2 linked regions of the Alligator mississippiensis genome follow. The protein of the gene in region 1 interacts with the protein of each later gene in a pairwise test. Links are inferred from orthologs where the notes say so. Each region holds a gene or a part of one and is shown on either strand. Other genes may lie near its edges.

What was found. The genes of interacting proteins can lie anywhere in the genome.
Region 2: the proteins of RTN3 (region 1) and CERT1 interact in binary tests that used the Homo sapiens proteins (3 or more experiments, as listed by UniProt). The link is inferred for Alligator mississippiensis from reciprocal best matches to the Homo sapiens genes RTN3 and CERT1.

What each region holds. Positions count from the first base shown.
Region 1 is NC_081838.1:4,720,973-4,728,161, reverse strand, and holds the start of RTN3 (reticulon-3), read left to right. Parts: upstream 1-4,188; 5' UTR 4,189-4,223; coding exon 4,224-6,285; intron 6,286-7,189. UniProt on the Homo sapiens protein: May be involved in membrane trafficking in the early secretory pathway. Inhibits BACE1 activity and amyloid precursor protein processing. May induce caspase-8 cascade and apoptosis.
Region 2 is NC_081826.1:254,408,301-254,416,151, forward strand, and holds the start of CERT1 (ceramide transfer protein), read right to left. Parts: upstream 3,090-7,851; 5' UTR 2,889-3,089; coding exon 2,793-2,888; intron 1-2,792. UniProt on the Homo sapiens protein: Shelters ceramides and diacylglycerol lipids inside its START domain and mediates the intracellular trafficking of ceramides and diacylglycerol lipids in a non-vesicular manner.

The sequences.
Region 1 (7,189 bases):
CCTGCCTGGAAGAGAGAGACTCTGACACTCTTGATCCTATAAAAGTTGCCAATAAAAGGCATCCACCTCAGGTTCTGGCAGCTCTGTGCATCTCCCTGGGAGAATGCAAGGTGGGACTTTGCATTCATTTCTCACAACTGGCTTTTGAGGACCTTCTCCACAGATGTCCAGTGTCGCTGTTCTAGAAAATGTCCCAACTGCATTTGCCATTTGAAATGTTTGAGGTCAGGAAGGAATTTTCCTCCATGGTCAGACTGGTATGGACTTGGTGTTGTGAGGGGTGGGGGGTGCCTTCTTCTGTAACGGGGTGGGGCATGGCCTTTTCCCTGGGATCTCTTTGAGTGTGTATATTAACAACCTTTTATAGAAGCAGGACTTTGACCACCATTGTTCCCCCTGCTTTACCTGTGGCAGGTTGGGGTGTGATGTTTTGTATTGCATTAGGGTTGATGATAGTTTTAGGAAGAGTTTAAATTATGGATTTGTATACGATGGGTTAGGTAGGGCCAGTCCTGCCTCAAGCAGGGGGTTGGACCAGATGTGACCTCTGGAGGTCCCTTCCAGCCTGACTTCGTGAAGATACCCCAGGCAGGATTCTCATATTACTCTAGTTTTACCTTCAGTGGGAAGGAAGCTTGGAAAAGCTCTCAGACAGGTTGAAGTGAACACCAAGAAAAACCTAGTCACTGGCTTCCCCTCCCCCCCCCTTTCCCCTTCTGTCTTCATTTGTCTGGATTCTCTGAAAATCAGGGAAGGATACAAGGAAAATTATTTCCCTTTACTGATACAATTTTTGTTAGGTGGAACATCAGCATAATTCCTGCGTACATCCTGTCCAGCCTTCTCAACTTGCATTCTCTGCCTTGAAGTCTCCATGGTTCAGCATGGTACCTAAGTTTTGTGTCGCTGGAGCCATGCTGTGTATCAGTTAGAGACCTGCCAAAGGTTGATGTCCCCCCACAGTCGTTTCTTCCACACTTAGCACCATCTTCATATACAGCAAGCAGCTTGTATTCACACACACTTTAAGTTGGCCAGTGATCTCTCTCGTTTGTGACCATGCTGGTGGTGCAAATGCTACATTGGAAACAAGCTTCAGTTGTGTCACTGCGTTATCTGGGGGATGGCGGTGGAGCAATATAACATGTGATGCCATCAGATGTAACTGAGGCCTTCCTGTCCTTCCAGTGGGCAGACATAGGCAGCCCCCCTTTCTTTTACCTATGGCAAATTAGGGTGTTCTTGGTGGTTTCGGGCTTTGTGCCTGGTAGTTGGGTGAGTAGGTTGTTTGTGCAGTTTTTATTTGGAATGAGCTAGACAGATGTGCACGGTATGGTTTAGATAGGGCTGATCCTCCCTTGAGCAGGGGTCGGCCTAGACGACATCCTGAGATGCCTTCCAAACCTAGTCTTTGATTTCTCAAACTCTGTTAACACCCTAATAACAGATGATTGCCATGCAAAGTAGGAATATACTGTATTCTCTCACCCAGAATATAAAGCACACTTGTTTTTGAAAGGTAGAATAAGGCGGGGTGAGTAGCAGTAGTAGTAAGAAACAGTAGCAGCAGCAAGGGATCCCAACCTGTTCATAGCTCCCTGAGTTGCCTGCAGATTTTACTTTTACTTTTGCCTTTAACTGGGCAGAAACTGCTCTTACTGTATTTATCACATATAATGTGCAGTGCAATTTACAGCAGCTTGTTCTTGTGGGTGAACCATGCATAGTATATGTGAGAAAATATGGTATTTGTGTTATACTTAACCAGCATGTTGCTTCCTTCAACTGGCTGAAAGTGGCCCAGTTTTCCAGACTGCACAGATGAGCAGGAATGAATGCCTAGGTGAAGGATAAACTATTAAAGCAAACCCATTTGTTTTTCCGCTTTAATTATTAGCTCCTCATGCCATTAATTTGCAAAGCAATTGGTGCTATAGTAAGGTATTTCTCTGCATTTTAACTTTATTCAGATGAAACTTGGAGGCTTATGCCTTGCTTCATTTGTGTGCATGTAAAACATTCCTAATTTTTAATGCTAACAGGCTCTTCTGATCAGCTCCAGGGGAGGCGTAGCATCTCGTAGAAAGAGACTTTCTACTATAAAGTTCTGTTCAGAGCTCCACCTCTTAGCAGACCTTTTGCTCTCATTAGTCTTGATAGCAAGGGTTGTTTTGGAGCTAATCAACACAGTTGAATCCACTTAGGAATTGCCACCGTATCGATGCAAATCTGACGAGTCTCCTCTCTCTCTCTCTCTCTCCTCTACCCTCCAAGGGTTTACAGCATCATAGCTCCTTTCACAACCACACTTCCAAGCATAGGAGCATTTCCCAAGTGGCAGTGTCACCCAGACTGGTGCCCGTGCCAGTGAAGTCATAGGCTGCACACAGAGAATCCACTCTGGGCACATCTGCTTAATTACAGTGCCTGGCGTCTTGTCCCGAAGCTCAAGGCGGGGTTAGGATGTACTATAGCCCCGTAAACATTTGTGTTTCAGGTGAGTGGCGTCCCTGATACGACTCCACCTTGGAATGACATAACCAGTCTCCCTTTCAAGACCTTGACCTGAAGTGGGGCTGTCATCCTAGCCCCCGGTGCTCTTGGCTACCAAGCCTACCCACACGCCAGGGTAGGAGAAAGGAGGAGGAGTTTTTCCTCACAACAGAACAGTGATTCTTCTAAGCAAGGTCCTTCTAAAGGTGCCACACACTATCAGCACTTAGTTGTGCAAACACCCGCACATGATTCGCAAGATAAAACAGAGACATCCAGTAGGAATCCTGAGGATCCAAAACATCCTGTCGTGGTCTTTCTGACTTCTTTACAATAGAAGAATTGCTCTATTTTTTTTTCATGGTCAAGAAATAAGATGCATCCTCTTGGCTTCTCTCAACCCATGATGGCAGATGCCAGGGAGAGTAACGCATAAGAGAGCGATCACTCAAGGTATACCTGGTACTTTGGTCTCCCTCAGAATCATCCACTCCTGGCACCATTGATAGATGGGTTGCTGGACTAGATGGAGCAGTGGTCTCAGCTAGAACGGCACCTCTTATGATCGAAAGCTAGCTGGCATCTTCCAAGGGGGGGCCTTGATTCTAATGAGGTTGAGAACCACTGCAGTAGAAAAGCAATAATGTTACACTAGGATGTCTTATGGAGGCTTCTGTTTTATCCAGGGAAGCCCAAACAAGTTCCTCTGAGCCATATGCCAGTCTATTGGGACATTAGTGATCAGGCAACATTTTCAGGAGCAGCTACATACAGCTAAGCATACATAAGTTCGCTCACTACCAGATAGGGACGAATCCAACCCCTCAGAGTTCATCCTCATGGTCAAGGCAAATTCCAGACTCTCACCGTTATGTCTTGGTGTAGAGGGGTTTTATACCTTTCAGGTTCAAATGTCTGTATTCCCACGCATTTCTCTTTGAGAGGGTGATCTCTTGGCCGGTAGAGTAGAGAGCAGGGAAACTTTCCTAGGGTCACCTTATTAGCATTGGGTGCGATTGCTGGTCTGTGCATCTCAGCTCCTTTGAAACTGTCCCTCGCCAGGTGCCTTCTCTCTCATTCTAATCATTGTCCTTCAGACTGACCTGTTTCTAGGAGCAGAGGATCTGGGAAGAGGAAGGTAGTGTGCTCCCAGCACAGGACAAAGGGGTGAGGGGTGTTCAAGACGTACTGCTTTTTGTGGTCCAGGCCAACCAGAACATCGAAGCTCAGCAGGCAGCGGCTGGACCTTTGGCCTTTTCAGGCTCATCTAGTAGTCACTTTAATTGGGGTGATTTGCAGCTGTCTCATTTGGATCTGTACCATATGTCATAGCATCCCCCTCGGTGTCTAGCACAGCATGCCTGAGATCCTCTTCACCCACCCCTGGTCGCTTTGCACACTTCAGGTATGGAGGCCCCCACCTTGTCGTTTGCTATCGGTCACAGCTGCTCGAAAAGTCCCGCTGTACATTGCAGTTTCTTGTGTCCAGTGGCTTTTCTGTCCTGTGACTGGCAGTGCTGTGCATGTCTGCCAAGGCTGGTGTCTTGGGCCCTCAGTTTCTCCCTCCCTTCTAGACCCTGAGAGCATGTTGCCTGTTTCGCTGTTAACCTTGTAACTACACTGTGAATCTCTCCCTCTCTCTCAAATCTCTGGCCTCAGAGGGGACTGCGTCTCCCCTTTCTGATAAGGCATCTTCGCCGGCGGATAGTGAGCCCCATGCCCTAACGAACATGAGGGTGGAACTAGCAGTAGACGGCAAAACGATGGTGGATAGCTTCCATGGGCCTAGCATGAATTCTGGAGTGGAGGCAACCTCTGTGGGTTCCCCAGAAGGCTCCCCCTTTTCCATCGTAGCGGAGCCCCGTTCTCACGGCCCAGCCATTCCAGTTGGTTTCCAAGAGCAAACCTATTCCACAAGCGATGTTCAGAGGGGGGATGACCAAGCAGAGCAGAAGGACCAAGGCGCTATGGACCAAAACAAGCCTGATGCCAGCAGCGAATCCAAATTTACTTTCTTGATGGAGCAAAAACAAGGTATTGAGCAGCCCGCTCCCAAAGACTCCATCTACTCCTCGGCCCAGCCTGGTGGTGAGACTGTGCTGGAAAAGGATTCTCCCGAGTCCCCGTTCGAGGTCATCCTGGATAAAGCAGCATTCGACAAGGAGTACAAGGCCTCGTTCATTAGTGAAGCCAACGATCTCGGTGGTCCCTGGGTGGTGCATGGTGAGAGAGAGCAGCTCACTGACATTCCCGAGGATCGCGTCTGCGAGTTTGAAGCCAAACCACGGCGGGGCAGCAGCGGCAGCTTCCCAATGGGCGCTGGCCTCTCTCGTCAGTCTTCCTGCACCACAGCTGCCCTGGAAGAGGTGTCCAAGTGCGTGCGCGAGATGCATACCTTCACGAATGAGCTGTTGACCTGGGACTTGATTCCCAAGGTGGAGTCTGCCAACAAGGTCCCTGAGTTGGATCTGTCAGAGTTGCCTTCCAAGGATGCCATAGATAGTCCTGCCCAGCCAACAGGAGAAGAGAAGGAAGCATTTAAAGCAGCCTCCCCTTCTCCCATCAGCATCAGGGTGTCCGCAGACTTGTCGGAGTACCAGTTCGAGCCACACTCTCCACGAGGCCAAGTTGTGGATCTGAAGACCTCCGGACCTGCCACTATCGATATGAAGGCTGATGTTGCTTGGACAGGCACCAGCCTGGTTGAAACAGCAGATGCAGACAGCTCGGGAGAATCTGACGACACGGTGATTGAGGACATGACCGCAGATCTGACCTTCAGAAGTGGCAAGTTCATCCTCCAGCCTGCAGAGAATGGCGCAGCTCCAGCTGGAAAGCCAGCTATCAGCCCTATCACCACTGGCGAAACCAGAGACTGGATCATTGCCGATCATGAAGAGGCCCCCACAGAGCTGCCTGAAAAGGGCATGATGCCCACCAGGACACCAGAGGACCACCGAGGATTCATCGATGACTTTGAAACACTCCAGGCTCACCCCGATATCAGGGGGAGTCCAGTATCTGAAGCAACACTTCTCAAGTCTTCCACTCTGGACTTTACACCCGTAGCTGCACAGCAAGTGAGCCGCACCAATTCAGTTGGCGTTGTGAAGCCACTTCAAGCTGGTGGAAAGCCTGATGTTCCTTCTAAAGAGCCTATACATGCACCAAGTGGAAAAGCCCCCTCACATATTACAGAAGGCCAACAGCGTCCAAACACCTTGAACGGGGAGAGCTTTGTGGACTTCATGAGAGAGTGCCTGAAGTCCAAAGGCAGTGGCGACTCCCCAGAGGACCTCACAGAAAACTTCTTGGAGGCTGAAGCCGTAGCTTCAAAAACTGCACCTTGCAGAGACAGAGCATATTGGTCAGAGGTGAAGGAGAGTCGTGAACACACTGAGAGAGACCTAACCTACAGCGGAGGCAGTCTCCAGAAATCCCCTTTCTCTCCAGGGTCCCCCACCACAGCCCAAGATCTGGAGCAGGAGCGACTAACGATCAAGGCCCTCAAAGAGCTAGGTGGAGAAGTAAATGAGAAGACATCTCCCACATCAAGCAAAGTCTCCCCGGTAGAAGGAAGAAGGGCAGCCTATGACCCCAACACTGGGACACCCCCTCAGAAACCCACCTTGGAGAAGAGGCCACTGTGTGTCCAACAGCCTATGGACCCCAAGCCAACTCCCATCCCTTGTGTTGGCACCGATGACAAAACCCCCAAAGAGCCCATCTGCGTTGGGCCGGCCCAGCCTCCTGTAGATCATGCTCTAGTGAGACTCCTGACTAAGTTTTCAGGTAAACCGCTCATTAGAAGTACAGTATCTCATTTGTTTGTCCAATGTTTCTCCTGATGCTACAGGTAGATATCTTAGGTCTCTGAAGGAAACCATCGAACGTGTTTCCTTCCTTAATCTTGAGCTTGCAAGAGTTCTTCCACTGTTCCTCCAGTGTCTTCAGCCCTCTCTATGGTATCTGAGCACCTTCTGTGTAAAATCTCTTGACCTTGATTGAGTTGGGGCATGCCTCTCTTGCTGGGCCGTCCGTGACTTTGTTGGGGGAGAGAAGGGGACCTTGTAGGGAGGTCTTTGGTAATAAAAGACCCTCGTATCCCTACTCCATTTACTGCCAAACCAGTCGATACAACCATCAAGAAATAGCAAATTCTCCATGTCACAGACATCCCTATTAATAACTCGCAGTTCCCGAGGCTTCCGAAATCACGTGTCGGGCTTAAAAAAAAATTGACTCTCTTCAGCAAACACAAGCGTTGAATTTATTGTAAGAGGTTATTGTGAGTGTTTCTCTGCAGAAGATAAAGGGTTGTTGGTGGGGGGAGCGGGTTGAAAACGGTCCTGAATAGAAGCTTTTGTTCACACTCCCCACATGTTTATGCTGGAAAGATGAATTTCAGGCCTCATCTTCAAAGCTTTTTCATGTTTGGACACACAATAATAAGGGGGTTTTCTTTTGCTGGGGGGGAAGAGATTCAGGCACAGATTATATAAGGTTCAATTGGCGTCCAGTCAGCATGGAACCGGTGACACAACGAAGGCTTCTGTTAGCGCAAGGAGCCGTGGGCTGGGCTGAAGACCTCTTGAGCGACAGCAAACAAAATGCAGAGAAGGCTAACGGCATGCTGGGGTGCATTAATAGGAGCATTGCCAACAGATCAAGGGAAGGGATTACTCCCCTCTATTCA
Region 2 (7,851 bases), on another chromosome or scaffold:
AAAGATGGTGCAAATTCAGTATGTTAGCTTCAATACAGCAAGGTGGATCTGACTGAAATCAAATTGATTTTAATCATGACTTAAATCACAATTTAAAATCACTGGTCAGGAAGCCTCAATTTAATTGCCGTTTTCTACAAATGTGCATTCTTGTTGATATCCTTTATTCATTTAACATCTTGAAGCTTTGCACTTTTAGAGAAAGATAAGGACTTGACTCTGTATACAAACTTGCAGAGACAAGACTGAAGAGTAGGTAATCATTCACGTCTGTTCTCTCTCATCTCTATATACTGCTGTTAACAAGGATATTATCTCTGGAGACAAATCCACAGTTTGACAACTGAAACTAAGCATCACAGAGATGCTTAATGGGATCTTCTAGACTGAGCACTGAGTCCCAGGAGAGTGGGTTTCTTTAATCTTTATTAATCTACAGAGGAGCCAACAAAAACCCCGTAAGATTGGACCCCCAATATAGTCCATGGCCTGTTGTGACCTATTTATAAAACTTTTCTAGAAAGGTTATATAAACATATCATCTCAAATAATATATAATTAAAGTTAATTCCTATTCCATGATGATCTCTTTGAGCTTTAAGAGATCTTAAATTAAAGCTATCTTGACATTAGATTTTTTTTTATTTAATTGTATTTAAAAAAAATTTTTTTTTGTTAAGATGCTTTAAAAAAACAAAACCTAATTTAAATATATTTTTTAAATGGTTGATTTAATTAATTGACCCTGCAATACAGTTTTAGGTAAGCAAAAAAAAAAAGGGGGGGGGGGGAATCTTGTAAAGGAAAGACTACCTGTTTAAATAATTGTATTCAAATTTTTCTAGTTTGTGTCCACCTTTAAAAGGTAAACAAAAAAAATGAACTACAAGAAGGGCATTGCAGATATTTAAAAACATTCAAGTCAGTAAGAACATGTGTACAGATTTAAGCATAAAAAAAAAAAACAAACACTAAGCCCTTTATTTATAAATCAGCTCCTCCTTTCCCAATACTGAGATCCTACCTGCTCTCCCCACAGGGAGCAGGGCAGGTGAGGGGAAAATGAAAAGAAATATCTTGGAGCACCTGAAACACAATAAATAGTTGGAACCTGCTCTTGCTGGTATGGAGTATAGTTCCATATGAAAGAGCCTTTAAAAATAAGAACATTTGCATACTAAACAGGCCATTAGGCAATCAGTTCAGTTGAATTCATTTCGCTCTCATATTTCTGAAGACATGAATTAAGCAGCAAACAAACCAGCAAAAAAACCAAGTGAATATAAGCCAGCCATAATGCCTTCCTGCATGTTCACTACAACAGGTTTCATCATGCTTCACAATTCAGATGAAACCCCCATGTGAGAACACAGTGGGGATAAACAGGAAAGGCAAAGCAGTCTGTGAAAATCAGCATAATCACCACAAACAGGAAAGACAACCACATACTACCTTCCAATATGGCACAGAAGTTTGGGAAGACACCTTGGGATTTCACGTACTTGATAGTCCCACCATTACAAGCTAACATAGAACTTCATGCAGCATGTCATTTGCCAATATTCAAGTGGCCAGCACACCACAAACATAATTTTTCTACCTAAAGACCTGAATCACCTAATAAGGAGGTAATGTTGCAGGGCAGCAAAGCACATTACTGTACCAAAACCTCCCATGAATGAAAACCATTGTGAAATGTCTCCTGTCCCCTCCCCCAATACCAAATACAAGATTTCCCAAACAAGAGCCAAGGCCGCTCTCTTTTTGAGCACTCCTCCCATCTGAGCTAAGAAACATTTTCCAGTTGGAAAGAGCTCATACACTCCCTTACAAAAAAGCATAACATCTGGTTAAGTTACAATAGGTTTCTTCGTATACAAGAGTGGCTCATGATCTCAGTATCCCATGACCTCGGCATTCTGTGCAGACTTAAAAATCATCCTTGTGGCAAAGCAGGACAGAAATGCTGAACTCAGCCACCTGGGTGTATAATGATATTACTTTCTCTAGAAAACACCAGCACCTCTCTGTTGCTGAAGCCGTTCACTCAACAGTTAGCCCTTAAAACACTCCTAATCTATTAAAAGCCTATTTAATCTCATTTTGCCTGCAGTTGTGAGCCGTCTCCTTACATTTCCAAACCAAAAGGAAAAGGTTTGGCTCCCCCCATGGAAAGCAGAAAAAAAAGCAGCAGCAAGAATTGGGAAAAAAGCAGCATCAGTGCCATTTTCCTCCTCTCGCACCCCCCACATCTCCTGCGGCAGGGGGTGGTTTGATTGCACTGTTTTGATACTTGGGCTAAAGGTTGTGCCACTCCTCTTTGACGTCTCCCTACTTATGGGAAGTGATTTGTGTGCGAGCATCACATGCTGCTTGGGGGGGGGAGGGGGGGGAGAATAAGAGAGAGAGAGAGAGAGAGAGAGAGACCATACCAGAAAAAAAAAGAAACAAAATGAGAGAAAGAAAAATGAGCAGCATTTTCCCCGGGCGAGCCGAGCCCCGGGCGACCACCGCATGCCCAACTCCGCTCGCGGACCTGATGCGCGGCTCCGCCCGTGCCGGCCCGGGAGGGGAGGGGAGGGGAGGGGAGGGGGCGCCGGGGCAGACATTCGTGCGGGCGGCGATGACTCCCCATTTGGGGGTGGGGGCGAGCGGAGACTTCGCCGCTCTCAGGACGGGCGCTAGAAGCATCCTCAGCCCGAGCCCTCCCCGTGCCCGACGCCCGCCGGCTACCCCAACGTGCCCGCCCGGCCGCGGGGAGGGCAGCGCCAAGCGGGCGGCGCCGTCCCTACCTTGCTGAGGACGCCGCAGAGCTCAACAGGCGGCCCGGACTCGGTCTCGGGGTCCTCCTCGGAGCCGGACGAGTTCCAGCTCTGGTTGTCCGACATGGGGGCCTGACCCGCCGCCGCCACCGAGCAGGGAATCGCGGCGCGGCCCCCGCTCACCGCAGCCGCCTCCCGCCGCAGCCACTGGCTCCACCTGCGCGGTCCCGCGCCCGACCTGGCTGCACCCGCCGCGGCTTGGCTTGGCTCCCGCCTCTGCGCCGTGCGGCCCCAGCCCGCAGCGAACACCGGAGTCGCTGCCGCCGCTCAGAGCGCCGCCGCCGCCATCTTACACAGGGAGGTCGCTCCGTGCCACTATTTACCAGCCCCCCCTGGCCCGCGCCGCGCCGCGCCGCGCCCCCGCCCCGTGTCACGGCCCGCGCCGTGCTGCCCGCCGGGCCTTGTAGTTTCGCGAAGGCAGCCGAGGGCGGGACGCCTCGGTGCATCTTGGGAGTTGCAGTCTTTCTCCGTCCTGGAGCTGAGCATGCTGGGAGACGCAGTCCACCGCGGGAAAGCAGTTACACTGGGAGGGGAACTGGCAGCCGCCATCTTGGCTCCACTGCCTGGAACTGAATGTGACTTTTCCGGTCTTCAGTGTGGTGGGGCCCGATTTCCTGCCTCTCCTCACAGAGACCGCTGTCTGCTACCTTGCCCGGCTTCGTAGCTCTTCTCCAGGCAGGAGAGATTCCCCGTTCCCCCACCCTAGCGCAGGTGTCGGGAAGCTGGTGCCTGCCTAGTCTGCGGTCTTTCCCTTAACAAACATGGCGGCCGCGGCGTCACGCCTCCCGCAGGAAGGGGCGGTCCGAGCCGGCCGGCTGAGGGAAGGTGCCGCCGGCTCACAGCTGAGGCATCGGGGCAAGCGATACTTCCTGCGGTCACAGGTAACGTGGCCGGCAAGCGGGTGGGCCCTGCGTCCCCAGCCGTGTTCTGGGCGTTGCCTCGTCTGTAGCTCCCGGGCGAAGACACGGGAGCCCCGCCCCCCCGCCTCGGCCGCCCCTTCGCCCGGCAGCGGTGTCCCCGGGCCCTGCCTCCGCGCGGCCTCTTCCCGCCGCCTCTCGTCCCCGGCCCGGTGCCCGTTGGTGCCGAGGCTTGTCTGGACCCAACCAAGAGCCGCGCCTCGGCGGGGGCGCAGAGCTGCCACCTCTTAAATATAAAATTATCGAATTGGAAGCTCAAAATGATCGTATTTGCCAAACAACTATTGTACACTGAAAAAACACGCAAATCAGTATGCCAGAAAGTCGTTGTGGTCTTTACTTTAATTCGCTGTAACCCGCCAGTGATGAGTAAGACCTGGGTCATTCAAGTTGAAGCTTTTCTTTATTTTGAGGCAAGCTGTCATAAGAAAGTGCTGACAGCAAGCCCAAAAATTGGTTAAGACTCCCTGACAGTGGCTTGGGTTTTGCATATGCTGCATCAATTAGCTGCTTCAAATGTATTGTACATTTTGAACACTTTCACCATTATTGGTTGTATGTTGCACAAGGGTTGAAGATATACAAATATGATAATTATTGTACACCTGGCAACAGTGGTGCAGCATCAGCTCAAGGTGCTTGGGCTGCATCAGCTCGCGTGGCTGCCTCCAGCCATGGAGGGCCCAGGAGCCCAATCCTTGCAGCGCCTGGGCAGGGCTAAGGCATGCAAGGCTGATGGCTGCACTGGGACCCACACATGCCTGTGCGAGGGCAGGCTCTGTCCCTGGCTCACCTGTATTATCTCTACTTCTTAAGGCGCAGGTCTGCCCTCAGCTTGCTTGGGGTGCGCAGTCTCATTGGAGAGGGGCAAGGTGGGGTGTGCAGGTGGGGCTGGGTAGCACTTTGGGGACAGACTCGTTCAGAAATGCATAAGCATTCATGACTCAAACTTAAACTCAGTTCACTTATGAGAGGCTGTGACCAGATAGCAGCTTCATTATGTGAAGCTGACCATTACTTACGAACCCTTCTCCGTTTCTGAATGAGTTTGCCTGCAAGGTGCTGCCCTGCCCTGCCTTCAAGTAGACTCTTTCACATGAACTCACGGCTCCTGATGATTACAGTGAATGGAAAATGTGTCAGGCACGTGGACGGATGTAAGGATTTTGAACAGGCTGGTGCAGATGCTGAGGTGGGTCAGCACATATAAAATAGACCATATTTTTTTCCACATAAAAATAAAAGCTTTGTCAATAGGCTGGGGGGTCTAGGCCTATATTATTCAGTTTAAGATTGAAGCAAAAACCAAAGTAACTTCATTGGAATGAGTTAAAAGCTCATGAGACAATAAGCTGAATACGAGCCAACAGTGTGCCCCTGTTGTGAAGAAGGCTAACAGCATACTGGGCTGCACTTCCAGCAAATCCAGGGAAGTCATTCTTCCCCTCTATTCAGGCCACACCTGGAGTACTGTATCTAGTGTTGCTGCCGCGCCTCCCCCCCCCCCCCCCCTGCACACTGCAGAAAGGATGTGGACAAATTGGAGAGAGTCCAGCAAAGGGCAACCAAAATTGTTAGAGGCCTGGGACACATGACTTCTGAGGAGAGGCTGAGGGAACTGGGTTTATTTAATTTGGAGAAGAGAAGACTGAGAGGGGATTTAATAGCAGCTACCTGAAGTGGGGTTTCAAAAAGGATGGAGCTAGACTGTTCTCAGTGGTGGCAGATGACAGAACAAGGAACAATGGAAGGGAACAAGGACAGTTTAGGTTATATATTAGGAAGAATTTTTTCACTACGAGGGTAGTAAAGCACTGAAACAGGCTACCCAGAGACATGGTGGAATCGCCATCCTTGGAGCCTTTTAAGACCTGGCTAGACAAAGCCTTGGGTGGGATGATCTAGAAGGGGACAATCCTGATTTGAGAAAGGGGTTGGACTAGATGACCTCAAAGGGCCCTTCCATCCCTGACTTTTTATGATTCTAAAAGCAATCTGCAGTGCTGTGAAATAGGAGCTTCATGACCCGGAACAGCTAACAGACAGCCGAATTGCAGAAGAAAGACTAGCTTGATGGGTGGAACATCAAGACTCTTAAAAGGAAGAAAGGGTCATTAACACCTGTGGAATGAAGCATTTAGAAGGAAGTTAAAAGGAATCAGATAGATTATGAAGTATGAAGTCCATTGACTTCCTCAGAGTGCCTGACTAGAAATGCTGCTGTGACTGCCAGGCAGTTAGTTTTAAACTTCGGGTGGAACAGGAATCAGAGGGGATGCAAGTGCTTCAGTGAACACTGTGCCCCTCCCCTCCACCTCTGGTTGTACATATATACCTTTGGAAATAATCATGCAGATTAATAGTAAGGTACTTAGCATACATTAATTGCAACCGTGATGCAAATTTGCAGAATGTTGAGGGAATGGGGAAATTATGTTAGCACAGTGGAAGCTACAAATATTTTAGGATGCTTTAGATGTTTTATCTATTTTTTTATGTTTGAAATTAATTTAAAGTAATTTTTCTCTCTCTTATTGCTGCTGTCAAATTCACTTACAATTAGACTATGATCAAAAGTTTTGTCCACTGGTAACATGACTTGTTTATCTTGGCTCTCTTAACTATTACAGTGTTTCTAGTTAAATCTTAATTTGTATCCTGTATATTAATAGTCATAGCAACAAATGAGATTCATTTAAAATATAGAAAGCATAATATACTTTGCTTCCTTTACCATCTATCTTCTCTGGGATGTGTTAATAGAATGGTTTGATAAGATTTCATTAAACTTGAATATGATTTCATCCTTAAATGTGCTAAATAATTTACAGCTCTGCTCCTGCATTTGGGAGGGAGGGTGTGGAATATGAGCATGCCTGAGCAAAGCTCATCAAAACTGACTGGGCTGTGCATAAGTTGTGGGATCAGGGCTGTAGTTCAAAGAATCCCTCAAAGTGATTAAAGAAAAAAACATTAATGAAACAGATACTAGAACCAAAAAAAACCCCAAAACACCTGACTACGAAAAAGGAAAATTTTTCAAACTTTACTGTACAGCTTCTAGCTACAGGTCCAAATAAAAACAAACAACCCCCTGCCGCCCCCCCCACCCCCCCCAAATTAAAAAAGAGTTAAGGTTGAAAGTAGGCTTTTCCTGTAACCTGCCCCATTTATACTTTGCCCCAGTCCTTGATTTCCCTCACTCATTGTTATTTTGTACCCTGATAATAACTGCCTCCATGCTATACTCAGGTTCTCCATGATTCCCTTTAATGTCTGTTTTTTTTCCTGTCCTTGCCTGTTTCTTGCCCTGTCCACCTCCTTCCTGTATATTTACCAATACTGTTGACTCCGTTCTGGATATGCTTGTCCCTTGCTCCTCTTCTGTTCATCCCTGTCTTAATACCTTCTGTTTCATTCTCTTTCCATCTGATGAAGTGAACTTGGGGTGACAAAAGCTTGTGGTCTCTTAGTCTATAAATGTGCATATCTACCCTGCTTTCTCACACTCATTCCCAGTCAGAGCTGACCCTGCAACCTTCAAACTTCAGTACTCTGAATTCATCCTTCACTTCTCTGGTCTCCTGCACCATCCTCCATTCCTTCAAGCAGTTGTGTTTAAAGAACAAAACATTAATTGATTTGGTTATTTAAGCAGCTGTTAATATTTTTAATGTCTTTTTACTAAAACAGTTGTGTGTGATCCCTAGAAAACAGAAAACAATTTAGAAACTTTTTAAAAACAAGAAATTTATATGTAGTGTATGTGTGTATAGAGTTAAATGTGTGTTCCTATTTTAAAAAAGTGCGAGCAACAGTACTCTTGGCATAATGTTTCCTGATGAATTTTGACCATGAGAATTCAGTTTTTAAATGATCTTTTCTGGTTATATTATGCACTGTACAAAATTTGTTTTCTGTGGTTCGAAAGTGGGAAATAGTACATAAGCTAACCTTGGTTTAGAAAGCAAGAAAGATTGTAAAATTTTACTTTATATGACAGTTACACTGCCTATTAAAAATTGACTCAAGATAAATTATGGTAACAAGATGACAATTCTTTGACCTCAGAATAAATCTGGAGATTTTTCAAGCCAATATCAGGTTTCTAG